7 separate regions of the Mus musculus genome follow, and all the other regions are reported to be linked to region 4. The links are microRNA targets in miRTarBase. Many come from high-throughput screens and were not tested one by one. Region 4 holds a microRNA gene; each other region holds the end of a gene's coding sequence.

Region 1 (4,079 bases), not on the chromosome of region 4:
TGAGCCACCACTGCCCAGTTAAGCCAGCCTGAGTTAAGGGGTTTGGAGGTCAGCCCTCTGGTGTACTGGCTTTAAGTTGGGGATGGTACAGAGGATGCAGGGTGGAGAGAGTGGAAAGGAGGAAAATAAGAACCCTGAAGATCTCTCTCCGTTAAAACTTTAGTAGGACCCCAGATGCCCTGGATTATAAAGAGTAATTGCACTTAATGTAAGCCTGAGAGATGAGGACTTACCTCGTCTAGGACCCCCACCCCCATCACACACAGGACCCTCGTAAATAAGGAAGGTTTACTCACGTGGATGCTCCCCACACAACCCTCCCTTCTCCCCACCACAGTATCTGCATGGGCTTGCTTATTCTGAACAAGTTGATCTTTGTTTTGTTTCCCAGACGTTCCTTAACTCCACCCCTACTCAACCCCTCCTCCACCCTAAAAAACACAGAATGAAAATCTCACAAGCCCTCATTAAAAAAATAATAATGTCTCAGAGTCCCTCATCTTTAAAATTGATGCCTTAATAGTCACCCTCCAAATTAAAACTAATTTAACAAAAAGTTAAAAGACCCAATACCCATTTCCCATATGACCTTAGACCTCTCTTCCCTTTCCCTGGAACTTTTTTATTTTCTCTTCAGAAAGGCAAGCAGAACTAAGATTGGGTACTATATAAATAAAAACAACATGATACAAGTTTTCTGATTCTCTTCATTTGTCCTCAGTTTATACAATCTAATAACAGACCAAGTCCAAACACAGCAGCCCAAAGGAAATGGAATTCCCTGGTTTTATTCTACAGGAAAACCCCTGCTGGGCTGTTTGCATTCCCACCCAGGCAGGTAGGCATCCTATGTATGTTGTGGGAGAAGGATGACAGAAGTGCACACAGGGTGACTGCAGCCAGGAAGAGGGGCTCACGGTGAAGGTTTCACCTGCATTATTCAAGCTTCAGAAACTGGGACAAGTCTGAGGTGATGCTAGCAAGGCACGAGGCATTCACCTACCACTCACTGGGAGAAAACTGAAGGAGTGCTTAAAACTCACGAATCAAGATAAGTACTGTCTTGATACAGTATTTAAAGAAAATAAAAATTTTTAAATGTAAAAACATCTTTATGAACATATCACAATTTAAGTAGACAGGATTTGTCCTCATATTTGTTCAATTAAGGGCTCTTACCTCTTTCACCTTAATACCATTCCTGATACATCCTAAGATTTTGATGTTTTGTTCAATCTGGGTTTTTAATGCTTATATATTGAAATTTTAAAAAATGTCTGGTATGATGTGATCCCAGAACTTGGCAAATTTGAAGCAAGATCATATACATTCAAGGACAGCCTGGGCTACAGGATAGGATCCTATCTAAAAACAAAACAAAAATAACCCTCAATTTCCTAGTAGATCTTTAAATTATGCACCTGCCAGAAATGCTTATCTCATACTAGGTTTCAGCCTGTAGAAAGCTGGGTGTGGTGGTTCATGCCTAGGTATCAGCACTCAGAAGACTGAGGCAGGAGGGTTGCTATGAGTTGGAGGCTAACCTGGGTTATATAGCAAGTACCAGACTGGCTAGCCAGGGCTACATAGCAAAGATACAAACAAAAAATAGTCAAAAAATAATGATGGGAAATTATGAAATCAACAGATTGGCAGACTTGGAAGTGAATGACTTTCAAACTTTTTGAGGGGGTGGGGGACAACTTCTTAAACTTAATAATTCCATAAAGAAGTCTTGACTAGCTTTGTTACCAAAGAGAGGTGTTTGATCATTTTTCTGACTAGGCAGAGGAAACATGCACTGGAGTCCCATCTCACACACGCACAAACATGCACATCTAGCCATTTGTGACTTAAATCAAATTCGGGGATAACATTCCATTAGTGGGTGATGACATACCTCAGCAGAGAAATTGGAGCCCAGAAACAGCCCCAGGTAACTCTGGACACGTGCAGTGCACTCACCCCTTCTTCATTTGCATCCACAAATGAACACAGAATTCATTTGTATAGAATTGCATAGATGATTTTTCCCCAGGAAAAAAAATAAGGAGAAGGGACAATTGGCGCAGGATAGCCTTCAGGTTTAAAGCTCTTAGAAATAGCTCTGGTCAGAGCAGAAGCTGTCCAGACTTGTGCTTTGTGCAAATTGCAAGGGAGCTCTCACCACTGGGTCCAGCCCTACCCCTCTGGAGAACAGGGCTGGCTCAGGAAAAGGGAGATATCCAAAGGCAGGTCAGATCACTGGGACCGTGCGGCCCATGGCGACAGCTCACTAAAATAGAGTTCTCTAGCTACCTTTCAAAGTGGCCCCTAGCCCCCATCCCATGCTTCAACACCAGCCCTAATATCAAAAATAATTTTTCTTACAAAGTATTTTTTATTATTTTAATAAACTAACCACAGATTAAGGTCAGCCACGGCTTAACAAAAGAAGCCAGGGTGTTAAGTTCACTCTCCAGAAGTGACAGGAAGGAGAAACCCACTTAGGTAGGGGCAGGAGTCAGTAACTTTTAAATGTTCTCTGTCAGGGTCCTGTCTTTCTTTAAAAAATTAGTAAAATAGGTTGCTTTCTACAGAAACACAGCAGCAGAGGATAGTGCTCTATAGAGGTTTTTGGTATTGTTTCAAACAGTCTAGCCAAACATCTGGGCTCCTCCACCCCTTCTCAGGTGCACTCAAACCCACATGTAGTTATTGCTAAGTAGTTAAAAAATAGATCACTCTGCACCCGTTCACCTGAAGAAACCCCATATACAAGGTTGCTTCTTACCACTCTTCTCTTTCCCAAAGGGAACTTGCTTTAAAAAAAAATATTTAAAAAAAAAATCACATCTTAACTTAGCTGAGCTCAATCCTTAAAAAGGATGAGGAAAAGGTAGGGCAACAGGCAGTCTCCCCTAAAACTAGAATGGATGGCAGATGAGTATCTAGAAGAACATAAAACTCTCTAGGAAAGACTCCCCTTTAAGTTCCTCCTTCCTATTTCCATTCACTGGGATTTAAACCACCCTTTCTGTGTAACCAGGCCAAGCACATACATTACTGCCTTGATCCTTCAGGGAGAATTTATTCAACCCTAATATCTACCTAATTCAAACCAAAATCAAATTTGTTCAGTATCTCAGATCGACTCAATACTCCCAACTACACCACCATGTGCTTTTTTTCTAAAGTCAATGAACTTTGGTCTATTTTTTCCTTAACTGACTTGAGAACTTTCTTTCCAGGTTCCTCCCCGAAGGTGTCCACCCACCTCCCACCCACACACACCTAGTATTTCCCTACTTTCCCTTGGGCCCTGGGATTGGGACAGAAGAGGTTATGAGCTTCCCCCTTCTGCCTTGAAGTCTCAAGTCAACTGTGTGCGCAGGAGCAGTACTGCCCTGGGGTAGTGCTAGCTAGCCCAGCCCTGCTCCCACCAGACTGCCAGCACTCCAGCCCCCACACCCCTCTCTGCACTTGCCCCATCAACACAGGGGCTGGGTCCTGATGAGCCAGAGTTGAGCTTAACTTTCTTTGTTTAGCCCCTGTCCCCACTAAGGTTCCAGCCACTCAGAACCTGTGTGCCAGCAGTTCCCCACCAGGTTCCCGCTCCCTCCGCCTCAGTTCTTCCCTGTAACAGCAAGAGCACAAGTTGTTTGTCTCAGGGTGTCCATAGAAGCTGCAGTTCGGTTGTTTGCATTTGGTCTGGGTTGGGGGAAGTCCCCGTGGAGCTCCAGCCCATCCATCTGGCTCTGGGGGCTCTCTGTAGCCATTGCTATAGGAATCAGCCACACGGAACTGGGGTGGTAACAAGGCACCCCTGTGAACTCCATCTTTGCCTGGCTCCAGAGCTGGGATGTTGTCCTGGTGGGGGTACGGTCGCCCAGGATACTGTCTGGGAAAGGTGGCATATGATGGTAAGCCCCCTACACATGGCCCCCCTGCCAATTGCCTCCGGGGTTCCTGGCAGTGGACTCCACCCCCAGAAGGCCGAGGGATAGTAAAGCCCCCAGGGTAAGCAGTAGAGAAGGCCATCGCCTTGGGCTCTGCGGGGGAGTCACTGGGCTGGTCCTCCCCACCGTCCGGCTCTGGCT
Region 2 (4,000 bases), not on the chromosome of region 4:
CAAATGCTCCTCATCCTCCACTTTAGCCTGCTTTTAGATATGATTCTTGTACTATGCCAGACGACGTGAGAGGAGTTTGAGGAGAAGGGTCAAAATCCGGCATAACAACTCGACTTTCACCATGCATCTAATCCCAGGGACGGCATAGTGACGGATACTGACATCCTGGGTTTTAACTGAGCAGAACTGCAGCCGAGAACAGCAGCTCAGTCTCTCGCAGGCCTGCAAGCTTCTATGCCCCGGCCCCGGGGGTCTGTATCTTCTTAGCAGGATATGGACTACGCCCTGAGAAAGAGCACTGTCGACCCTCGCACTCTGTAAAGCCCTTCCTCAAAAATAAGAGCATCTGCTACCGTACAGCAGTTCCACAAGGAACGTGCTGGCATTATTGCGACGCGTGGGTGGAAACGCTGAGGCGTAGGAAAGTCAATTGACTTGCCCTGAGTCACACTACAAACAACACCTGTCACTGATGGGACGCCAGAGTGTATACACCTTTACTCCTCACGACACGACACCTCTCATAGTTTCTATTTGCGCCCCCACTCCCCTGCCACACCCACGCTGGGGCTGGAACCTGGGGTTTCAGGCAGGCTGAGCATGCACTCTGCCGCTGGGCCACACCCTGTTCTGCACGCATTTTTTAAATTGATAAGTAACACATATCCAGGAGAGACTATCTCCATCTTTCCTTGAGGCGTACAAAGCTGGGGATAGTTGAGTGACTTAAGGTCATACCATTTGGGACCAGAATGGGGGAGCCAAGTCTTGAATCTGGACTCCAAGGCTAGTTTTTACACTTGGAACATATAAGATGCTTTTCATTATTCACAGTAGTCCTGGTCTATAAAGTATGAGCGTGGGATTAGCGAATACTGAATCACCGCTCCCAAGGGACATGCAAGGTCATGCTTTCCTCAGCCAGCGACTCCATCAGCATGCTGCGTGTGTATTTCTTTTTGAGGGTGGCACATCGCATGTATGCAGGCCATTCACTCGTGCTCACCCCATTGCCATCAACACAGTGCCTCAGGAAGACTTAGAACTCATCTTCCCCGGACAGACAGAACGTCCACACAAACAGTGAAACAAACGATGAAGAACTTGGAAATGCACTGTGTCGTTAAATAGATTAAAAATAAAGGGCAGCATGAGACCCAGGAAAAGGTGGAGCTGGGGACGGCACATGCCCATCACTTTGTGGTCACCTTTGTCTGTGTGTCTGGGAATGACTGAGCACGGAAGGACTGGGTGCTCATTTTTGGATTTCAAGAAAGGTTTAGGGCGTAGGCAAATCGGAAGAGGAATGACAAGGATCGGCTGGACTGCCTGTGGGGCGGGGGTTGGGGGCAGTGGTGGTGGGGACGGAGCCTGAAGCCCTTTGGTAACTTCTTACTGAGGATGGGCCACTCTTGCTGCTCCACAACCTGGTCAGACCTGGGCAGGAGCCTGCCACTGCACGCTCTTCTGCCCAGTCACTACCCCAGTCACCCACCCTCTGTCTTTTGTTGGCAGAGGCTAAGTACTGTCCAAACCAGGCTGCTCAGAATTCCTGACTCCTAAACTCATGAGGTCTGGTGGCAAATATCCCCCTCCTTCCCTTTCTCCCTTTCTCTCTCTCTGTAGTGTGTATGTGAGAGAGTGTATGTGTGTGTGTATGTAAGTGTGTTGTGCCTGTGTGTGTATGTGTGTGTGTATGTGTGTTGTGTTATGTATTTAGTATGTGTGTTGTGTTGTGTGTGTGTAGTGTGTGTATATGTAGTGTGTGTGTGGTGTGTGTGTGTGTGTGTGTGTGTAAGTGTGTTGTGCCTGTGTGTGTGTATGTGTGTTGTGTTGTGTATTTAGTATGTGTATGTGTGTGTGTTGTGTTGTGTGTGTGTAGTGTGTGTATATGTAGTGTGTTGTGTGTGTGTGTGTGTGTATGTGTGTAGTGTGTGTGTGTGTGGGGGGGTGTTGGGGCAGGGGCATGCCGGGTACAGTAAATTAATGAAACACTCTACTTCTGCCCTGTCCTTCAGCTGCCTTGCCGTTGCTGCCTCCCATTGAGGCCCTGGATAAAGTCTCAGCCAACAAACACAAGTGCAAGTCCGGCTGCCACTGTAAGAAAGATAGGGCTGAAGAAGACATTCTCCCTCCCTCCCTCCTTTAAAAATGACTCGAACCTTTGGGTTGTTTCCCAGCCGGGATCAAGAGCGAGTCTTGGCCTTTAAATCAGCAGACATGCAGGACCCTCCTGGCAGTGCTGGGGTTAACACTGTGACCTCCTTACAGCTGCTGAGGAGTCAGGGCTAATTTTACTCTCCTATCGGGCTCTGCCCAGCCTCATATTGTCCAAGTGCTGAGATATGTTGGGAAGCATCAAGTCAGCACTTCTGCCGGCCCAGGAGGCTGCGCGGGCCCTGCTTTTTGCAGAAGGCAGAAAACCAGTGACTGCCTGCTGCTCGGCTCTGGAGCTGGGCCCTGAGAGTTCAGGGGTGGGGGTGGGTGGGGGAAGGGGCAATAACCCAGTTAGTGCTGTGCATGGGCAGAGGCTGTGATGCTGGCTTGTTCCCCGTTGTCTCCCACCCTGACGCATCCTGTACTGAGCTGCCCCGAGCTGAGCACAGTGAAGGACCTCGGGGCAGCTCAGTACAGGACCCCTCAGGGAGGGCGAGATCAGAGCTGGCTGCTGAGGCTGGCTCTTGGGCACTGCAGCCTGCTGAAGATCTTCGTTGCGTAGCCTGGCCCACCCATCCTTGGCCCCCGCCCTGACGCACACCCCTCACACACTAGTACAGCCGTTAGCCATGAAGACCTTCCTCACTTCCAGGGAAGATTCTACCTATGCCTTGGGTCTGCTAACTTAGTTCCTTCTCAGACATCAAGCGAGCAGCCTTGTTCTCAGAACAGTAATCGAATTAAAGCTATGGCAGGTTAGGACTCCAGTGAGCCTTAAGGTTTATGTCTGGCGTGCTTTCTGACCATGTGTAGTGAGATAGGCTCAGACTGTGTTTTGAGCACTACTTCAAAGCACTATTTTAACATTATACTGGTACAGTCAGGCATGGTGCTGCATGCCTTTAATTCCAGTACAGAGGCAGCTGGATCTCTGTGGGTTCAAGGCCAGCCTGGTCTATTTAGCAAGTTCCAGGACAGCCAGGGCTATATAGAGAGACTCTGTTTATAACTAAATTGCACAGGGACTGAAGGTGTGGCTCAGAATGCCTATCTCTGGTCCCACCCCCCTAACACAGCCAAAAAAGACAAAAGAAAATATAAATAAGCAAAATAAACCCAAGCCCCTGATTTTGTGTACTCTCCAGCAGACTGGTGTCAACAGAGAGGCACAGGTCTGAAGAGGACGTGGAGGGGCAGAGACAGTGGCTAGTTTGAGGAGTGGGATTCTGAGAGTCTGGTTTTAACTCTGAACTGAGCTAGTAGTGCAAGGATGGGGTGGGTTGGGAGCAGCAAGCAGCTACCTCATCAAGGACCATGCCAGCAAGGACGAGAAAGCCACTGTTACCTCCCAAGGGGCTACTTGAGGAGAGGTCACTGCTTGCCCCTTTTCAGGCTGGCCCGCTTCACTATCTGAGCCCCCTTCCTGCCCTCTATCAGGTCCGGCTGGAGTCCACTCCCTCTTAGCTCCACCTGGAGACAGCATCAGAGACAGAAAGTAGGAAATCACACAGGCAGATGAGCAAGCTCGGGCAGGAAGTGAGAAGGGTCAGGACAGAGAGGAGTAGGAGGAGGAGGAGGAGGAGGAGGAGGAGGAGGAGGAGGAGGAGGAGGAGGAGGAGGAGGAGGAGGAGAAGGAGGAGGTGGGAACACCATCTGTCCGCCAGAAAGGTAGCCAGGGGCAGCATTGCAACCTGGAGCAAAGTAGAGGTGAGGCGGAGGTGAACTTGCTGCGGCCTCCAGGGGCCTGCAGTGCCTTGGTACCTTAGTAAGTTTCATAAAGGACTCAATATCTGCTTCCAGATCCCCAGGGTCTGCCAGGGGACCCTCGACAATCACCTCCTCG
Region 3 (4,079 bases), not on the chromosome of region 4:
AAATGGGTGGCTACAGATCTCCAACACCATCCATGCTAAAGGGACATTCTTCTTAATGGAAGTAAGAACAGGTGACCTGGGATGACCCCTCACACATACTTGACAAAGGAAGTCTGAGGGCATATCGTACAGAAGACATTTTAATCCATGCAGGCACATTTATATCACATACACTATGGCTCAACACAAGCATATATATATATATATATATATATATATATATATATATATATATATATATATAAATTTTTTTCAGTCTGGGGCTTTTAAATCAGCCACCAGTTCAGAAAAGCACATAGAATGAAATGTGGAGTCTCGGGGTTTCACATTGAGCAGGCGAGCAGGCACACTGAACGCACGGTGAATAGCAATCACAGGTGGACCGAAGTAGAAGACAGATATTGTGTGGACAGAACACAGGAACACCGAGGAGCTGAGCAATGCACTTGCCATGCCTCATCATTGAACATATGAAAGGCAGCATCCCCGTCAACCTCCAACAGCAACGTGGGTGTCCATAGCCACAGCAACACTCTTTCTTCCTAGTTACTTATTCACCAATCACCAAGAAAGCCAAAACGATAGGAAATCCAGTCATTTCTGGACTTCCACTAATTAATTAGATCAGTGGGATTGATCTAGAAATGCTCTGTGCTGCCTGAGATTCATGCCTGTCCTAAAGATGACCTCAGCCTACACCAGGGCTGCAGTAGTGTCATTGGCTCTTAGCAGGACATATCCTTCCGCAGAGTGAGGATCTTACCAGGGTTGCCCCATAGGTAGCTGCCTCATTCTTCCACTCTGAGTCACTGGGAATGCCCTGGAGATTTTCGGCTGCATTGCAGAGTGGCACTACATCAGGGGCACTCTGGTATTCAAACCCTGCTCAGGCCTTTCTGATGCTCTGTAGAGTAAGGGAGGAAGGAAGCTGCTTGGAGAGATTCCAGGAGTAGCAGAAGAAAGGATAAAGTAGTCCCACTGTTTTCTGAAGTTCTCGGCCCTAATCCTTCTCAGAAATGTGGCTGTTTCATCTGTTGGGTGCTAACTTTGAGCTGCAGTTAGGAAATAAGACCAAGAAGTATTTACTACGAGCTCTTGGAAAAGTTTTCTGTTGTTTGTTTTGTTATTGATGCTTTTCCTCTTCTTTAAAAGGTACAGCAGTAGGTGGTGCTCAGAACCAGCTATTCTGCACAGCCGGATTCAGTGATTCTGTCTCTGGGGATGCTGGGGATCTACCCAGGTCTTCGTGCATGCTAAGCACAGATTCTACTACTGAGCCACAGCCCAAGCACAATGGATTTCTTTTGTGTGTTTGTTTGTTTTTTTTTCCTTTTAACTGACCACACACGGTGTGCCTGTCATTGACCCACCTCCCACCCTGCACTTTCACCAGCATATCCCCAGTTCTGAAAGCAACCGTGCTCAGAAAGATGCCCACTGGGAAGAAAAACTAGAGATTTGAACTTGAGACCTGCTGGCCCTGCTGGCCTTTAGAACGATTTGAAAGCTGCTGTTTTGGAGGATGCAGGCAAGGTCCAGGAGAAGGTGGGGCCAGGTGAGGGCAGGTAAATCCATAACACCTCTAACACGTTGGGTCTTCAATACAGAAGAACAAAAGGCAAAAACTGGAGCATGCATGTGGTCCCTGACACTTGTGGGGTATCAGCCGGGAGCAGAATCGAGTCGTCTCTGGGTTGCTATGTTTGACCCATTCATCCCTCTGAAGGTCAGGGCAGATGCTTTGAGATAAACAGTGATGGAATATGACCAAAATGTCACAAATAAAACGTCAGACAGAACCTCAGAGACAGGAGCTCAATAAAAGAGGTGGGTTTTGATTCTTAAAAATGTGCGTGTGCGTGTACGTGCTGGCGTGCGTGCGTGCGTGTGCGTGCATGTGCGTGCATGCATGCGTGCGTGCGTGTGCGTGCGTGCGTGCTTGTGTGCGTGCGTGCGTGCGTGCGTGCGTGTGTGTGTGTGTGTGTGTGTGTGTGTGTTTGCTCTTAGTAGAGAGGCACTATGTCCCAACCACGCCAGAATCTGGCGAACTGTAAATGCCAGTCTTACCCTCAGCTCTTGTTTTCGACACAAACTTTCTTGCCCCAGTAGCTACCCTCTACTTCCATGTCTGCCTTTCCCAAATGATATCAATCAATCAAGCTGGTCACTTGGACCAGCTTGCTGCCACCATGGCTATGCCTGTACTCTCCATAAGGAATACCATTAATGGCCTCGGTTTCCCCAAGAGTTGAAAACATGCTTTGTAAAGCCACCTACGTCATGATTCTACCTAGCGTCACCAGTGGGGCACTCGAAGAAGTTCTTCAAAGATCTTGTATGCGTGAGCACAGGGCAGTTACAACACATACACAGTTAAGGTGACTGACACTCTGCACATGAGTGAAATACACAGACAAGAAAGTGTCAGACTTCAACAATATGTTAAGCAGCAGGGCAATTCTGCCAGCCATCTCACAGTGATTACATAACGTGGGGGCATCGGTCTCCCTGAATTTGACCTCTGGGATCTATAAGCCATCCTGCTTCTTTAAGTGTAACTCTTGAGTAGATATGTGTAAATTGTTCCCTATTTTAGTTAACCAATACAAAAAATAAAGAGCCAAACAACACAAAGACGTGATATATTTCTTGACAAAAAAGCAACTGACTTTTTTTCCCCCTTCACTTTGTAGAGTTAGGAGTTTCAAGGGAAAGTTTGCTTGCTTCCAAAACTCCTGGAAATCTCTCCTGTGAGGTGTGACTTCACTGAATAGTTCCAAGTAACTCTACCTGTAGTTCAGGAGTACTCTCTGATCCTCTGGAGAAGCAGGTCTCTGCTAACCTTGAGGAAAATTAGCCTTCAAGGGACAAACATACCAGAGTCTGATATTTTACAACTGCCATGTTGGAAAAAAAAAAATGTGTCCCAACTCCCAGCATTTGCTAAACTTCTGCATATGACTCCTCTCATCAGAATCAAGTTTAACTGATCAAGGCCACCTCACACAAGAGAGCGTGAGAGGCCATGCACATAGTAGGCACTTGCAAACAGATTCCGTGCCCATCCAGTTCCCCACTTCAAGATCTCATGAGTCTTTGCTACTTCTAATCTAACCTATGTATTTATTCCCGATGGAACATCTTTATTCCTACCTAATCAAGCTTTGGAATTCTGGCCCCTGTGTGATATTCTCTAGCCCTGAAGAGGCCCACTATGTACAGTGTCCATGTTTCACAGTGTCATCAGAAAGAATAAAAAATAAATCTACATTCAAATATTCATTTAAAAATAAGAATAAAGGCTGTTTAGAGCAATCTGTAGCCAGAGCAAAGAGTAGCTCTCCTGAAATATCCCTCTACCTTCCAAGCGGTGAACTAAAACAGAGGAAGCAGTTAAATGATTCACTTAAGGTCACAGAGTCAATGCGTGCTGAAGCTGGAACTGAAGAGCTCAGAACCAGGGCTCTCTTCCTCTCCTGTCGCTGCAGAGTGCTGCCACCAACTTCGAAGACTACTCATTCATATTCTCTAAGTCATGAGGTGTGGCAGTGGCAGGGACTCCTGTCAGCTCTTCTGTGTGTGATAATCAGGACTTTCCCGCCAGGTGCCAAGAACTGTCCCCCGAAGCACTGTCCCCCGAAGACTCGGAAGCACTTTATAGGTTGTTATTCTGGCCGTCCTCCTCCTCTTCTGTGTTGTTTTTGGTTTGTTCCAAGGCTAGATTTGCTTGTCTCTGATTAAAGTCACTTTTTACTCTGAATGGAGGGAAGGATGGACAGAGGGAGGGTGAGAGGGAGGGGTTAAGGGAAGGAGGGAGGGAGAGAGTGTCATTCATTAAAGGAAAAATGAATTTAAACTTTTGAAATGATAACGTGTAGTCCAATATTTTTCATTCTTTTAAAACAATTAAAATATGATTCCATCATTTCTCCCTCCCTTTTCTCCCTTCCGCCCTTCTCGTGTCTGACCCAGCCCCTCCCAAATCAACTGCCTTCTCCTCTTTAAACATTGTTGATACAAAAAACAAATGAATAAATATATGGATACAAGCTGCTGAGTTCATTCGGTGTTGCCTCAAT
Region 4 (4,079 bases):
AGTGGAGACAGATGCCTCCTGGAACTTGGTTGCCTGCTGGCATGCCTCAGGTTTGACAATGAAGTGGAGAGTGATTAAGGAAGACACCTAACACCTACCCTGGCTTACACATGCACCAAAATATGTACATGTACACTAACATAAAGTACAGGTGCTGCAGTTATTAGTAGACTGCTTGCCTATCACATACAAAACCTTGGTTTCAATACCAGGCTTGGTGATACACACTTGTGATCCTAGTTAGGAGAACATAGGATCAGAAATTCAAGGCCACTTTCAGCTACCTAGCATAGGATATGTAAGACTATGTCTCAAAAACAATTAACAAATAGCCAAAATAATAGTAAATGTGGTTTGTTAAGCTTAAAGTATATAGCTGAGTGTAAAGGTAAATTGAAGAGCAGTGAGTTCCTTTTGTTGCCATTGAACTTCCCCTGAATTACAGTTTTGCCTCTGTTTTTATACATGTAGATAAGTCTTCAAAGGTATAAAATTTTTCTTTATGTTGTGTGAGTAATACTATTAAATGGATGTTTTTATGTAGTTTTCATAGAAGGAATGTATTTGAGATGAGGATAGATTTAAATTCTTTTCATATACTTTTATTTTAAAATAATTATGTATATTTAAGTATTATTTTTAAATATTATGATGTCAAGGCATATTAATCCTTTTGCCTGTGATAATATAAATTTCCCAAAACTTGGAATATTTGAGAAGAAAATAAAAAATACTAGGAATTATAGAGCTTCTTCCATATTAGAAGCAAAGAAACTAAAGAGACTTTAGATAAAAGATTGAGGTCCCACCTGGAGCAGTACTTCCGTACTCTGGTGACTCTCTGGGAGTACTTTTGTTTCTTTGCGTTTTTTGGCCCGCAGTTTGCATTCATTGATCAGTGAGTTGGTTGACATTCAAACCCACCGACAGCAATGAATGTTGAGTGCAGCCATCAATGTTTCCTTTTGATGAAATTGTCTTGGTCTTTTCTATCTCCTGGCTCTTCTTCCCACTATGGTTCTTTGAAGTCTGTTGTATGTTAGTAACTAGTCATCTGTATGGTTGTGGACTCATAATTATAGATCACCTTGACTGTATAGCAAGAACTTGTTCAAGACAGAAAAGTTGTGAGGAAGAAGGCACTATGTGAGAACCTTGTAAGTAGCTCTGATCACATGGGCTGAGACTTGGATGTTGATGTCTGTAAAGGAGCCCTCAGAGACATTGCTTCATCTTTTGTTTCAAGCTGAGACGTTAAGTGCCCTTTTCAAGGTAAAGCAGTATAGATTATGATTGCAGTTAAGTAAAAATTTTTGTAGTAAACATTTGCTGTGAGCCAGAAACTGTTCAAAGTACCCTCATATATCTTCTCATTAAATTAAAACTCTGAGGTTCTCTCCTCTCCTATTCTACATTTGAGAAAACATACTTGGATACGGAGGCTCAGAGATGACCCAGAATTCCTTAAATTAGCACATGGAGATGGAAATGTATCTGGTTCTCTCATGGAGATGTCAAATCCCTAACCGCAGTAACTGAAACTGGAGGCACAATATGATTTGTATAGACAGTGAGTAACTCTGTGAGTATTTTTGCTGAGTAAATCTCTTGACCCTAAAGCAAAAATTTGAAAGGACGTAGAAGAAATGAGAATAAAAGACTTAACTAGATTTTTTTCCTACAGTAAATAGACATTTTTAATACACCCTATTTCTGACTAGAATGACACATTTCTAGAAGATATTTGAGTGCATTTGGTACTATGATGGCACTTCCCATAAATTGTTAAAATGAAACACTTATTTATCAAGAAATTACAAAAAATAGACAATATAAATACATGGAAGCTTAAAAAAAAAACTTGCTGGTTCCCTTTAGAAAAGAGGCCACAGGACTGTATCTTGTGATGTCTGTCACATGATATATCTGTACAGCCTACTCCTTTGCTTCAGGAAACTTGTTGTCTGTAAGAATCCCAAGGTACAGTCAACGGTCGGTGGTTTTTTTGTTTTTGAATCCCAAACTCACCGACAGCGTTGAATGTTCCATGGAGTCCTCTTAAGGCTGGCTTGGTTGCCCATCTTTGGCCTGCTCTCATATTCTAAGGACCACTGCTGTTGGGTCTCTCACATTCTTCCCAAAATTTCAAGTTAACAGTACTTACACTGTGAAGTTAGTTTGCATAAAGCAGAAATGAGCTGCAGGATTGTGAGACTGCAGTTTACATTGCTGACTAAAAGTGGATATCTGTGGAAATATTTTTCAATGCTATCATTCTGAAAACATCAATATAGCAATTTTGTAGTAATACTTTAATTATTAATGTACAAAAACAAGAAAGACCATAACACATGCTGGGGACTTATGTGTAGTAGGATTTGTATATTTAATTCCAACCGTGTTTTCCTTAAGAAACAGAGACTTACCCGGAGTTCCATAGCCAGAACTTGAACACCAGAGTTCATTGTTCCAGTATTGGTTGGATATGTTGCTTTCTCCTTCCTTTACCAGTCTCAGATTTGAACCTTTACTGCAGAGCTAAATCAAACAAGCAAATTCCTTCTTGTTTGCCTGTAATAGTAGAAAATACATCTAAAGTCATATATTTCAGAGAAAAAGATGAAAAACAAAACTCAGTAGCTGAGAATCATGGGCTGCTAAATTACCACAGAAGTGCTAGTGATGCTCCATGATTTTTTTTCCCCATATAGGAAAAGTAAAAATTCTATGTGTACTAGAGCACAGAGAGTGTATCTGGAGAGATGACTCAGCAGATAAGAACTTGTACTTTTCTAGGCGGGACTTTGATCCCAGCACCTGTCTTAACCACAATCTGTAACTACCAATTCTTGCTGCAGGGATCTGTCAACTCAAGCCTTCACAGGCACTTGAACAAACACACACACACATACATACATACATACATACATACATACATACATACATACATACATTCATTCATACATACATACATACATACATACATACATACATACTTAAAAAATAAAAATCTTTAGAAGAACACAGAGCAACTAAAATGCCAGATGTATCTGATCTTTGTTTTGGGTGGTTATTTTTTATTACTTATTGACTTTCTTTTCCCCCCTCCCTCCCTCTTTTCCTCCTCATTTTTTTCTCCTCTCCTCCCTTCCCATCCCTCCCTCTCTTCCCCTCCCCCTTCCTTCCCCTCCCCTTATCTGGAACTCTCTTTATGTAGAGCAGGCTGCTTCAGACTCAGAGATCTGCCTGCCTTCCTCTGAGTGCTAAGATTAAAGGTTGTATCATCATGCCTGGCTATTTATTGAATATTTTTTATGAAAAGTCTTGAAAACTAATTAAACATTTTTCAGAATATTGGCTTTATTTTAAGCAACATAGAAGCTTTGTAGAGCTGCTGGCTGAATTGAGGTTAATATCTATCTAATCTAGGATACTTTGTGTTTAAATATTTTCTTAAATGTATTTATTAAATTTATTATTTTTATGTGTATGGGTGTTTGCTTAAGTATATGGCTGATAATCTCAAAGGCCAGAGGAATGTGTCAGATTCCCTGGAACTAGAGTTAGATGGTTATAAGCCCACATATGGGTGCTGGGAATCAAACTTGAGTCTTCTGGAAAAGCAGCCAGTACTCTTTTTTTTTTTTAAAGATTTATTTATTTATTATATATGAGTACACCTTAGCTGTCTTTAGACACACCAGAAGAGGGCATCAGATCTCATTACAGATGGTTGTGAGCCACTATGTGGTTGCTGGGATTTGAACTCAGGACCTCTGGAAGAGCAGTTAGTGCTCTTAACTGCTGAGCCATCTCTCCAGCCCCCAGTACTCTTTAACCAATGAGCCATCATTTCTCCAGCCGCTTTGGGTTTAAATACTGATGGTTGACCTAGCTGAAGATTCTTTTTTGTGTTTGTTTGTTTGTTTTCGAGACAGGGTTTCTCTGTATAGCCCTGGCTGTCCTGTAACTTACTCTGTAGACCAGGCTGGCCTCGAACTCAGAACTCAGAGATTCACCTGCCTCTGCCTCCCAAGTGCTGGGATTAAAGGTGTGTGCCACAATGCCCAGTGATGAAG
Region 5 (4,079 bases), not on the chromosome of region 4:
AGAACACAGTGCGCCGTGATGGCCTGCCTGCTGAGCCACCTCCAGCTCACTGTGCTAGCTATTGCGGGGATTATTGCTTGGGGTAGTACTTACTTACACCAGTTCCTTTGGAATAATGAACATTCATTCCAAACAGTACCAGCCAAACAGAACAAGTTGGGAAGAAAAGGCCTAAACGAACTGGCCAGCCCAGTGCAGGAAATACAAAGTGACTTCTGTTTACAAACAAGACTTAAAGTAACTTAAAAGCATAAGGCCTTGAGGACATGGTGTATAACATGTAAAAAGGGCTCCATTCAAACACACTCAACCCTCTTCAATAGTCACAGGACAGATAGTGTGAGGTTGGGCTGCCAAGTCTCCAGTGACTTCATTATGCACAAATGCTCAAAGCAGCAAAAGGAGTCTAAGGGAGACACACATCAAAGAACTGTTCCAAAAAAGAACAGTAAACCAGACATGGTGGCTCACATCTATAATCCTCAGACTACATAGTAAAACCTTATTCACCCCAACCCCCCCAAAAAAAAACCTTAAAAAAAAACAAAAAAAGCCCAAGTGATGACGGGGAAGGAGAGTAGGCTGCAATGGGTTTACACTTTTCAGTCTGGAACACTTGGCAGCATTATAGTATCTGACCACACAAAAATGTCGTTTGCCTTTCAGTGTATTTGTGTGGCGATGTCTGTAAACACTGGAACCCCGTGCACTATGGCTGCTTCTCCCAAGCTACTTGTAGGCAGTGCAGGGGCACCTCCTCGACGCCAACTGCTGTGGGACACACAAGCTCTGAACAGAGATGTTGTAGGACTCTCATAATCTGAACTTTGCAAGATGGTGATGCCAAGAATGAATACTAAGACTGTTTGCTTCTGTTCTGGAGACTAAAACCTATACTTATTGTAACTTCACTAACGGCAAAATTGGGATGATGTAGCCCACAGATAAAATTTACATCCTCAATTACCCTAACCAATATGTAGCGTTTAATTTGCATTAAGACTTTTACAAAGGTGTTTTGCTATTCTGTTTCTATGTATTTTAAGAATGTTCACTGGACACAATGTAAGTTGGAAGCACTTAAGTACAGAAATACCCTGTTTGCCACATTTAGCTTTCAAAACTAAATGAGCCATGTATAAACAAGTTTTAAAATGTTAATTTTTAAAAGTTTCATTTGCAGTTTTATATCCATTAAGTGCCTTCAAAGTTCCCAGTTGTGTGGGCTGCTGCCTCACCTCCCATGTCGTCTTCTTCCTTCACATGGTGCTAAAACTTCAAAACTGAGGAGGGCTATGGGATTAGCAAATTCACCACTATGTCCTGCTCTAGGAAAGCAGTTATAAGGTGAGCAGCAAAGAAGAGTCCAGCTCCACAGAAAGTAGCAACACGGAAAGCAGGGAAAGCTCCAGTGTGACGAGTGAGCTGTCTTGCTGTTTAGTTTACACCCTCTTGGGTAGGACTGGCTTGGCTCTGCTCATTTCAGATGATTAATGCAGGGTAAATTCAGATTTTTAAAAACCTCTTGAACATATTCCCCACTGTAAGGAGTATTTGAGTTTCTCCAGTCAGTTGTCGGACAGAATGTGACTTGACGACTATTAGTTAAGAAGGCTGATGGGAGTTGGAGTCGTGAGTACACACACCACCGAGTCCTTCCAGTCTGTGCACTAAAATTCTAGACCTTGAGTTTCTAGTTATATGAAGTTGCCATTTTAGAGAAAGGTTGAAATAAGCATTTTCAGTTAAAGAATAGATTATCAACATTTACCACAGAAGTGCTTCAGCATTCTAAAAGAATTAGATTACACATTAAGCTATTTTACACGCCAACTTATTAATGCCTTACATCAACCCACTAGCAGGTTGCTGGGTCCTCAGTAGAGCCCTATGCAGCCCTGATTCTGTTTTCTGTACCTGGTGATGCTGAGTGATCACTGTGTCTGCCTGTCTTGTACTACTGACATTTCATTCAGACAGATCTTGCATTAAGTAACCATGTGGATGAACAACTGACTAATCAATGATATATGTATATATTTGAAGAGCAATAGTGTCTGTTATAAAGACTTTGAAAGTCTTATTTGTAAAATTTATATGGTGTAATTTTATGTATATTCATAAATCTTGCACTGTATTCTGTTAAAATATTGGTGCATGAATTTATTTTCAAAGTATAAAATAATTTAAAACCTTTTGTTATGAGTCAAATAAATCTCACTATGTAAATATATTCTTTGTTCTTAAGCTGTTTCATGAACTAAAACCTTTCTAAAAGCATGTTACCATGTGTCCACTCTCTAAGCCTACCACCGTGTTTTTGCTGTGCATTCATGAAACTAAAACACTAAACACAAAGGTAAGTCTATAAGCTTTATTGATACTTTGCTTTACAGTTCACAATGCATTCCACAGATAATTCAATACAGCTTAAACACAATGGTATAAGTCTTCATTTTATGATTTCTTGCATAACAATGTTTGGTAACTGCAAACATTTGGAAGCATTAAATTCAGTCCACAAAATCAACTATACATACAGTAAATCTTTGAAATGACGGTTACGTTGGAGTTCTATGTTCTCTTGAAAACAGGTGGTAGCGCTCCTACAAATACATTCTCTTCCTAGTTTATGTGCTTGGGACTACACTGTATAACCAATGACTCAGAGGTCAAGCACTGTGGGGCAGCTGCAAGGTTAAAGATCTAAGCTTTGTGAAACACTATATATAGATTATGTCTATATTTACTTATATTGGCAATCTAACAGTAAATCACAATACACCTAGAACATACCATAAAGACAGATTTTTCCACTCTGCTTTAGTAGTATGCTCATCTAAACATCTCATTTCAGAAAAATCTGCATCAGTTTTACACCAACCAAACACAGTACACTGTGAAAAGGGTTGTTTTTCCTGCCCCCAAATCTACCTTCTTTGCAACTTTCCAAATACAGCCAGACTACCTGCAACAGAATATAACACACAGTTTTCCCAGCATCCTTTATTCACCAAGTGCCTCATCTGGGGAAAACAAGTATGACTACAATGAGATCCATACACAGCAGCTTACAATACTTAAGATGATAAACACAGGAAGTCAAGACAGGTAATTTTTCCTCAAACAGTGCACTGCTAAAAATAACTGAAACTGCACGGCCACCCAGGGCTCACCCCTGACCCGCCCACCCCGTAACCAAGGGAGTGTCCCCTTTAAAGATGAATGTCTACTGTTTGGGGCCTTTTCATTCTGCTTTGCGCTTCAATCCAGGGATTTTTGCTTGGATTCTACAAATGAAAAAAGAAAAATGTCAAATTTTGTGTTTGTTTCCCACTTCTTTAAAAAACGTTATGCTGTATATTATTTAGAGAATCATAAAGCTACCAAAATACAAACTAATTTTCCACCTTTGCCTAATGTTTTTTAAAAAAAAGCATTAAAAAGAGTTAATGCTGGCCTCAGAAGGACACTGCCGGATGATGGTCTCGCCCTTGGTAAGAAGGCTGCAGGGCATACTCACTTGGCCATGGCATCCTTAACGCTCTTGTTTGCAAGTCCTAGATAATGATCTATCTGCGCCTGAGAAAAGAGGATAAAAGCATTATAAAATTAATATTGCCAAAGAATATCAATCAGTACTACATACCAACAAACTAAAGACTAGCTCTAAGTCCTTTATAATAAGAGTGAGCTCTATATTCTGCAATCTCCACAGTTAAGAAATTACCTGATGCCGTTCATATATAACAGGAATACTGAAGAGTGAGATCAGAGCTGAAAAAGTAAACACAGAGCTTTAAAAATAAATTAAAAAAAAAAAAAAAAAAAAAGAAGACTGGTACCATTCTAGGAGTCAACATCATACTATCAAGCCAATAGTAATCAAGGTAACCAGACAGTACTCTTAAAGCCTACATAAATGTTGACATTCTCCTGAGGCCTGGGAAATGCTCACATTCTCCTGCATGTGCTGAAGGAACCATGCTTAGCTTCAAATCACATCACAGAGATTCTATAAAATACAGCTTCCCCAATTTAAGCTCAAGAGTGCACCTAAGGCAGCTGTTAGCTGGAGT
Region 6 (4,074 bases), not on the chromosome of region 4:
ATGTGTCTTTTAATACCATATGTGAGTGCTTACTGGTTTTCTGTAGTTTAAGTAAGTCTTATGTGTTTCTGCAGTTAAGCTTTTTATTGTTAAAGTTAGTGTGGACTGTTGACTGTTCAAGAGCGATTTGCTTTGCTGCCTGTTCATTTCCAGGGCTGGGGAGCAGAGTACCACCGACAGGACGTCACCAGTACTCCCTGCTGGATTGAGATTCACCTCCACGGGCCTCTGCAGTGGCTGGATAAAGTCCTTACTCAGATGGGCTCTCCGCTGAACCCCATTTCTTCTGTTTCATAGTGCAGAAGTATTCTTTCAACTATATTTTTAGTGGACTTGTTTTAATTTTAGAGGAATTTCCAGTACAGATGCTGTGAGCTGACATGGAAAACAGATATTATTTTTTCTACGTAATTGTGACCAACACATTTGTATTTTATGATGATATTACATTTGTTTGTATTCGTGTTCATTGTGATTAACTTTCAAAAGTATTGTAAACGATGTAGAGTATTTTGCCCCTGTTGAAATGTTTAGCATTGATCTTAAACTGGAACGTACTTTTTCTTATTGTCCCAACGTTTTTTAATTTGTTAAATTTTTTTTACAAAGTAGTTCATCACATAATGAAATTTTATCCTATAAGAGAACATATATTGTGGAAAGCAGTAGATGATATTTCTCTGGGAATTTCTTTGCCTTACCACCTTTGAAAAAGCATACATTGTTTGCAAAACCTCAAAGTAGGGCTTGCTTAAAGGAAACTGTTGAATCTTGTTTGAAGGACACTGCAGTCCTAACGTGTTCAGTGAAAGCAAGGTGGTAGATTTCTGGACGTCATACATTTACATTTAATATAGGTAATATTCATCAGTGTAATGTGACTTCATGCCATATATATTTTGTAAAACAATTCCTTTTTAAAAACTTCAAGTATTTCTCATTTACTCAAATTTGTTGTAAGTCCTACTTAACAGTTAGTTACTATGTGCTCTGTGGCCTTGTTCAGCATTGTTTGCTGCTTTGGGCCAACAATTCAAGAACTCTAATTTTCCTGTGCATTAATCTTTTCATTTTGCACTTTTATGGGTGACTGTCTTAGTGTAGCCTCTGGTAAAATACTATTAGGTGGCCTGGTTTTAGAGCTCCTCCTCGCTGCCTTGGCACTCCTTTGTGCAACACGACCACTTAGAGATGACAGCTGTGAGCTGTGCTGCTTTTTCTAGCCTTTAATTTCCAATGTAGTTTATAATGTTGTTCTTCTATAGCTCCAGCTAAGGTGCCTGTTAGTCCCCTACAATGTTATGAGCATTATTGACATTGAAAGGTTATGTATGTATGAATACCTTTGCTCCTTACCAGACTTGTCATACAAGGACTCGTGCAGTGTAGCCAGTAGAGGCTCTTTGGTTGGCCCAAGAATGAGGCTGTTGGTGTAAGTGAATCACAATAGGGATTGGGATAGTTCATGTCATATGTCATATAGCAAGACAATGTAGAGTGTAGGCTTGTCTCTCTGCATCAACGCTCTGCCTCTTTCTTTTTATCCTTTTAGAACCTACATGGACGCTAATCTCCACAACACTGTTGGATGTGAACACTCTTAAGACACTCATCTAGTTCACTGTGCCTTGTCCTTAGGACTCTTAACCACTTTCTAGGGAGCAGTTATGGCCTGAGATGGACAGTCATGGCCTGAGAATGAAGACACTACTTTGATAAAGAAAAAGGCCTCATTTGCCTATCAGAGTGAGAAAGGTTTTTTTCTGGTGCCTTTTGAAAATATACAGAGCCACTTGGTTCTTCTGCTGAAAATGTAATTTTGGTTTGACTTTTTAGAGTGCCCTTCCTGCCTTTATGAGGAAAACAGCTATTTTTTTTTTTGGGGGGGGGGATTCCTTTTGTTTTCTGTGCCATTATTTATTGCCTTTCAGAGTGCAACCATTGGGTGGCTTTGCTCCTTCAGAGAGGGCTCCTTGATAGCCTTCAGTAGCTTGAGCTGTAGACATAAGTATTCCATAGCAAGAGTGTGTCAGCTCCATGAGAGAGATGTCTGCTTTATAGCCGAGGCAGAAACCGTTCATGTTCCTTTACTTGGCAGCCTTCAGGAACAGGTTTGTAAGAACGTGTCTTGAGTTGAGTGAGTGTATGTCTGTGAGCTCTGCTGAAGTCTGGACACAAGGGCCTTGCCTGCTCCTTTTTTCAGCAGTGGGTTACATGTTGTCTCTCCACAGTCTTCATGTCATAGGTCTCGGACTTGCAGAGTCCTATGTGGCCTGCCATCTGTACAGTGGCAGGACTGAAGCTCTGAGCTGTTCTGAGGTTCATGGAGAAATCCCAACCTATTCTGTGGTCAGTAAATGGAGACTGTGTAGTCTACCTGCTCCTGTACTGTCCTTACTGTATGTAAGGATATACAGACGCCTGTGGGTAGGCAGTACTCACAGTGAGATGAAGACAGCAAGTGTGCACTGAACCACAGAGGGCAGGGAGTAGGGCCTCTGAAGAAGCCACCAGACCAGACCAGTGCCGGTACAGTCTTTGTCAGAGATGGCTCTGATGGGGCCCAGACTGACCCTGACCATGCTGAGTTGCTGAGGGTAGCCTTCAGTTCTCTACCCTCTGAAGTGCTAGGATGACAGACATCCGCCATCATACCCAGCTTCCGTGGTGCTAAGGATCAGCCTCAGTCTTCAGGCGTGCTAGGCATGTACTTTGCCAAGTATTTAGTATACAAAATACATTAGTATCTGCCAGGGAAAAAAGATTTGCAAATAATAAAGATTGCCATCAGTTTGATAAATGTTGTAAATGGAAGAATCAAAATCTCAGCGATGGATTACAGCAACAAGATGCTGCCTAGGAAAAGCAGGACCAAGAGGTACATTTGACTAGTATACCTTCAGCGTAGCGTGATGACCTCACTGATGTCACCCAACTGAACTTAAGGGCTGTAAGTAGGCGTGCTGTGGGCCTTCCAGAACTAGAGAAAATTATAGGAGGAAGTCAGTTCTAAAGTATCAAAAGCTGGGTAATGGTGGCACATGCCTTTGATTCTAGCACTCGGGAAGCAGGGGCTAGCCTAGTCTACAGAGCAACTTCTACACAGAGAAACTGTCTTGGAGGAAAATAAAAAAAGAAAAGTCAAAGAGCAAACAAATAGAACAGAGTAGGAATCCGTGTCCCCTTTTTTCTATGTTTCACGGTTGCAGGTGTAAGAAAAGTAGTCATAGATGTGGCTGAGTTTCTAAGATGAAACCAGTAGTAAGATTGCTAAATATAACACTTCAACCAAGTTAAACACCCTTTGGGGGTATGAATGAAAGTAACACTGCAATATGAAATGAACCGTGCAAGTAACACTTGGGGTTACCTCACAGTCTCCCTATGCCTGAGAGGACTGTGGGAAACATTTCCATCCCCTGCCAGTATCGCCATTGGGAGGACAGAGTAGATGAAGAAGTGAAGTCTTACTGGTCCAGGGCACGCCTGTCAGCAATGCCATTTGTGCTTCTGCCACAGAGAGCACCGAGAGGCTTGGCTCAGTATCCTCGAACCTTCTCTGGTCACTTCCCTGGCAGCACTTGGGTCCCTGTCACTCACTGGTCTCTTAAAAGTCCCGTCTCTTTGCTTCCTAAAGATTCTCTAAAAAAATTACTATTTTTTATTTCTTTTTTAAAAGTCTTTGTTATTTTGTTTTGGGATACAGTCTCTTTGTACAGTCCTGGCTGGCCTGGAAATTACTATGTAGGCCAGCCTCAAACTTGAAGTAATTCTCTTGCCTCTGCCTCTGGAGTTCTGGGATTACAGGCATGCACTGCAGAGTACAGTGAGCTCTGATGGCTTTTAAAATTCAGCCCCTTTGAGGGTTTGGTTTTAGATCCATTAGCTTTGTCTGAACCCATCTTTGTCCGGCCGAGTAAATCCTCTGCTATCCGGGGTCTCGGTAGAAATGTGTTCTCAGTATACATACGACTAAACATTGGTTGTTTATAGGTAGCCTCAGATATTTGGTAGAGCATCTTTTTTGAAAGTAATCTCCAGCTAGGTGGGTATTTCCCTCACAGCAGTAGGATT
Region 7 (4,079 bases), not on the chromosome of region 4:
ATAAGGAGATAGCACATTAAATACATCACAACCCCAAACCAGACAACTGCCGCCACGGCACAAAGAAGGGGAGGGTGGGCCAGGACCGGTGACCAGACTGTCAGAGGAAATACATTCAGTGGGTGTGCAGTATCAACATTCCAGGCTCACGTGTAGATATATTTTATTTATATATATTTATATTTATATATAGAGATCATTGAGTTTCGTGTATACAAAGAATGATATTGTTACAAATACAATACTATACTTCTCCCGATGTTTTACAGTAAGCGCTAATGTTACAGAACAGGGGTGTGGGTTCATACCCCAAGTGCTGTGCTAAGTATGTACAAGAGATTTCATTCCCACACAGTCATCACACACTGCCTTAGATGGAGGGAAGGTAAAATCAGGGTTTGTGTACTCAAGTGGACCCTAATCAGGGAGGGAGCAGACAGAGGTGAAACTCAAACTAACAGGTAGCCTGGTGAAGGTGAGGGTTAAAACATCAGCGAGAGGTGGCCCTTGGTTGTAAACATTGGTGACAGCTACACCAGTGGGTGGAGAGACCTGAGCAGGGCTCCGTGGGTGGGTTTTCATCAGTGTGCCAAGGGAACATAGGTGTGGGTGGGGCTGCAGGAGGAGGGAGGGGGAGCTATGGGGGAGGTAGTAGGTTACTCTGGACTCCCTGAAGGCCAATGTTGATGGGCGAAGTTCAGAAAGCAAACCCGTGTGCAGGGAGGTGGCAGCCTGCCTTGTGCTCTACTCCCCTCCACCCCCTGGAGCCTGCTGTGGGGAAGGGAAGGGATCGCTCAGGAAGTGGGCTACTGCCATGGATCTGTGAGCCTTCCCTTCTCTCAGGAACTCAAGGCTGATGGTGGCTCCCTGAAAAGCTCCCCAGGAGGAAGCAGAGGCAGAATGGGTTCTAGTGCAACCTCATTGGACTGGGGGAGGGGGGAGGCGGGGAGTGTGTGTGTGGATCTGGGAGCCTGCCCCAAAGCCAAGTCACCAGCGCGTTCCAGCTGAGTGGGCAGAGTGGCTTTGTGCCTTGCAGTTCGAGGAAGGCGGCTCTGTGGGTAGTCGGCCCCATTAGTGAGAGCGATGAGATATTTACATATGTAACTGTGTATATGAAGATGCCAGACAAGACCTGACCCCAAGTTTAACCATTCAGTCTGATGCTAGCAGAGGAAGAACACGCTTCAGCAGGGGGCCTGGACCAGGGGACAGCTTTTCCCTCTGGGAGGGAGGACCCTCCCTTAACACAAAAGACTAAGTAATCCTTACAATGATGCTAAACTATTAGTTCCCTAGGAGAGCTTTGCAAGAGAAGCTTTGCTTTTGAGCCCCTCTTAAAGCTTCCAGGCTTCCTGTGCAAGGAGAATGGAAAGCATTCTCTTTCCTCTTTCCCTGGGGTGAAGAGACTTCATTGTGATGACTGGGCGTGATGACTGGTGGGGTCTGCCCCTGACGGGTCCCAGGTTAGCCTCCGAGGTCCTGCTTCTGCCTTCCTGTCCAGACGGACATAAGCCTGTCAAGGGACTTTACCAAGGTTCCCAATGCCAGAGATGGCAGCAATAATGTCCCTCTTTGTCCTACCCATCATCTCTGGCAGAGGAGAGATGGACCACAGCCTTCAGTGTGTGGTGATGTTAGATACCTGACAGATCACTTATTTCAGATATAAAGAAAACCCAAGGCTTGTCCCCTGGTCTCCACATTTGCTGGGGTCTGACCTTGGGCCTGGCCATGCAGGAGCATTCTGTTAAGACACCCTTAAAATCAAGTCCCGATGGCCCGGCTTCTGTGGTCCTAACTCCACATAGCTCTCGCAGCAGCAGGCCCGGTCCTTCTCAGGCAGCTATCTGGACAGCCGGAGGCCTCATATCACTGAGGCTTTTTGTGCTAGAGTCAAACTGAGGGCTCACGGCAGATCCCAGCAAGCACCGGGCTTTCCCAAATCTCTCCAGACATTTCATGAAGTCAGAGAACCCAGGGGTTGGCTGTTTCCCACCCTGGCTGAAGCCCCTTATTCCATCTCTTGTTCTATTCACATCTCTCCCTCCCCCAGACCCCTCTCTTCCCTCCATAAATCCATCCTTCCCAACACTGCTCACTGAACTCCCATTTCCAAAGATACAATATAAATATCCCAGATGCAGAGAACAGGGATTATATTCATACTACAAAATATATTAGTTTTTTTTCCCCCCTGTCTCTACTGAGGTCATCAATGAAACAAAACAAAAAACAAAAACAAGAACAAAAACAAAAACAAAAACAAAAACTAGCCACATCCCACATGGAAACAAACTGCTCTTTGGACCAAGAATAAGTGGAAGCTGGCTCAGAATGATATTATTAAAACACATGGACTAGACTGAGACGTGATCCACAACGTGAGGCAACTGATGGAGGCACCAAGCCCTCCATACTAGCTGCAAACTCCCAGATCTACAAGGCAGTAGGGCGCGTTTCGGGAGCACAGCTGGGGATTCTAGGCCCACCACCAAGTGTTAAGTCTGCCCGATTTAGTGGCTTATCTGTTCTAGCCTTTATAATATCACATCCTCACTAGTAGCTGTGAATGGGCCCAGGCTGGCTTAGCCTTGGGGCAGGGAAGCAGGACACTAGGGCACTCACATCACAGTTTGACCCTCAAGAACCTCCAGTGTGTACATGGGGTGGGGGGAGTCTTAGAGGGAACTCTGAGCCAACTGTGATAGAGAAGGCCAGGACAGTGTCTTTTTTAGGACAAGGCTGGCTGCTTTCTGCCTATGTCAACCTGCTAGGGGAAGGGATCTTCCAGAGAGGAGCTGGGGGTTCTCCACAGGGTCTGTGGTGCTAGGTTTTTAGCCTGCTTCAAAGCAGGTAGAGGGCAAATGTGACAGTGTGCAGGGCTCATGTGTGTGTGTGTGTGTGTGGTACATGTAAGAGCTTGTGCAGTAAGTACATTAGGAGGGTAATACCTGCCTGTGGCTATTCTCCAATTTGTAACCTTGGACAATCTAGGGACCTCGGAGGCCCTGTGATTTGCCAGGATCTCTGTGGTGTCACAGCAGCCCTATCCAGGGTGTCACTTCCTCATTTCTCAACAGTTAGGCCTGCATTAGCACACACATACATTGCAACTAAAAGAAACCATGGGAGAGATTTAAAAGTGGCTCAGAAATTCTGGGCAGAAATAATGTACAGGGCCCCCAATGACATAGCAGGCAGCGAACATCCTTAAAGATGTGGGCTTTAAGGATGTTCAACGCTGTCATCTGTTGCCAACTCCTTTCCTATCAAGTGAGGTGAGGAGGGCAGAGAGATCAGCCACTGAGTTTTAAGCACTGCTCAGTCACCTCCACGCTGCCTCTGGGAACTTCCTCAGGGAAGTATGTGTCTCCCGGGGAGGGATGGTACCTCCGTGGGCATCCCCCAAAGGCCCTCCACCATGATCCCAGGGAGATATTAGCTGCTCTCCACCCTCAAGAGGGCACACACAAAACTTCCCTGGTATTAAGGAAGGAACAGAAAAGAAAAAAAAGAAAGAAAGAAAGAAAGAAAGAAAAAAACCAAACAAACTGGAGAGAGACAGAGAGCAAAGAGGTCCTTGCTGATTCTTCTCTTCCCGTGTAAGACCAAATGTTGGGCGCCAGAGGGGAATGTCTCAGTGGACACACGGGTGCAGCACAAAAAACACAACCACGGTGAGGAGAGTCCTCCATGCATGCCGCTACGCCATGCCACGCCACGCCACACCACGCCACATCACGGAGATTCTGCTCAGATGTAAACGGGCTGCTCCTGGGCCGTCAGCAGTCGGTACATGGCTGCTGGCATTGTCTTCATGTGGATCTGAGGGCAGAAAGCCACGTTAGCTGGGGCTGGGGGTAGGACCTCTCACTATATACGGTTTCCAAGACTGCCTACCCTCGGCTCTGGGACCTGGTTTTGGGAGACTGAAGCCCACGGGCTTTCTAGAAAGTTGCGGTGACTCTAAATGGTAAGACGATATGGGTAAGGCTTAGTTTTCCAGTTAAAGGCTCCAGCTTTTAAGGCCATTTGGAAAATAAGGAAGGGACCATGGGAAGACGGACTCTGGCTTCTGG

Evidence for each region. Region 4 holds the annotated microRNA mmu-miR-181a-5p (AACAUUCAACGCUGUCGGUGAGU, at 2,023-2,045, opposite strand). A microRNA usually pairs through its seed, bases 2 to 8, with sites in the 3' UTR of a target mRNA and lowers its output. Matches are read on the target gene's strand: a 7mer-m8 pairs with bases 2 to 8, a 7mer-A1 pairs with bases 2 to 7 and ends in A, and an 8mer does both.
Region 1: the mRNA of Otud7b is a reported target of mmu-miR-181a-5p. Seed matches in the 3' UTR shown: 8mer at 1,326-1,333.
Region 2: the mRNA of Ank1 is a reported target of mmu-miR-181a-5p. The part of its 3' UTR that is shown has no 7-base or 8-base seed match.
Region 3: the mRNA of Stk32a is a reported target of mmu-miR-181a-5p. Seed matches in the 3' UTR shown: 8mer at 3,267-3,274.
Region 5: the mRNA of Eml6 is a reported target of mmu-miR-181a-5p. The part of its 3' UTR that is shown has no 7-base or 8-base seed match.
Region 6: miRTarBase lists Smad5 as a target of mmu-miR-181a-5p. The part of its 3' UTR that is shown has no 7-base or 8-base seed match.
Region 7: the mRNA of Apba1 is a reported target of mmu-miR-181a-5p. Seed matches in the 3' UTR shown: 8mer at 111-118.

What each region holds. Positions count from the first base shown.
Region 1 is chr3:96,155,445-96,159,523 of GRCm38, reverse strand. It overlaps Otud7b (OTU domain containing 7B), which reads right to left. Exons shown (of 12, transcript NM_001025614.1): 12 at 1-4,079. The coding sequence ends at 3,556. Among named protein-coding and RNA genes, the nearest start is that of Mtmr11, 4.5 kb to the left of the region's middle.
Region 2 is chr8:23,141,223-23,145,222 of GRCm38, reverse strand. It overlaps Ank1 (ankyrin 1, erythroid), which reads right to left. Exons shown (of 44, transcript NM_001110783.3): 42 at 3,994-4,000; 43 at 3,503-3,627. The coding sequence ends at 3,529. Gm15816 (predicted gene 15816) reads left to right here. Exons shown (of 6, transcript NR_169137.1): 3 at 2,019-2,099; 4 at 3,958-4,000. It overlaps Mir486 (microRNA 486), which reads right to left and starts at 2,668; the gene lies at 2,541-2,668. Mir3107 (microRNA 3107) reads left to right here and starts at 2,561; the gene lies at 2,561-2,650.
Region 3 is chr18:43,314,731-43,318,809 of GRCm38, reverse strand. Stk32a (serine/threonine kinase 32A) reads right to left here. Exons shown (of 13, transcript NM_178749.3): 13 at 1,329-3,755. The coding sequence ends at 3,656. Among named protein-coding and RNA genes, the nearest start is that of Gm31647, 66 kb to the right of the region's middle.
Region 4 is chr2:38,850,707-38,854,785 of GRCm38, reverse strand. Mir181a-2 (microRNA 181a-2) reads right to left here and starts at 2,051; the gene lies at 1,976-2,051. The region is part of intron 3 of Nr6a1 (nuclear receptor subfamily 6, group A, member 1); the gene reads left to right. It overlaps Nr6a1os (a long non-coding RNA gene), which reads right to left. Exons shown (of 7, transcript XR_866167.2): 3 at 2,427-2,571. Mir181b-2 (microRNA 181b-2) reads right to left here and starts at 956; the gene lies at 868-956.
Region 5 is chr11:29,741,198-29,745,276 of GRCm38, reverse strand. Eml6 (echinoderm microtubule associated protein like 6) reads left to right here. Exons shown (of 42, transcript NM_146016.2): 42 at 667-2,226. The coding sequence ends at 691. It overlaps Rtn4 (reticulon 4), which reads right to left. Exons shown (of 9, transcript NM_194054.3): 7 at 3,731-3,777; 8 at 3,524-3,582; 9 at 863-3,290. The coding sequence ends at 3,248. Among named protein-coding and RNA genes, the nearest start is that of Rtn4, 50 kb to the right of the region's middle.
Region 6 is chr13:56,737,182-56,741,255 of GRCm38, forward strand. It overlaps Smad5 (SMAD family member 5), which reads left to right. Exons shown (of 7, transcript NM_008541.3): 7 at 154-4,074. The coding sequence ends at 297. Among named protein-coding and RNA genes, the nearest start is that of Gm45623, 15 kb to the right of the region's middle.
Region 7 is chr19:23,945,456-23,949,534 of GRCm38, reverse strand. It overlaps Apba1 (amyloid beta (A4) precursor protein binding, family A, member 1), which reads right to left. Exons shown (of 13, transcript NM_177034.3): 13 at 1-3,825. The coding sequence ends at 3,754. Among named protein-coding and RNA genes, the nearest start is that of Gm34076, 30 kb to the right of the region's middle.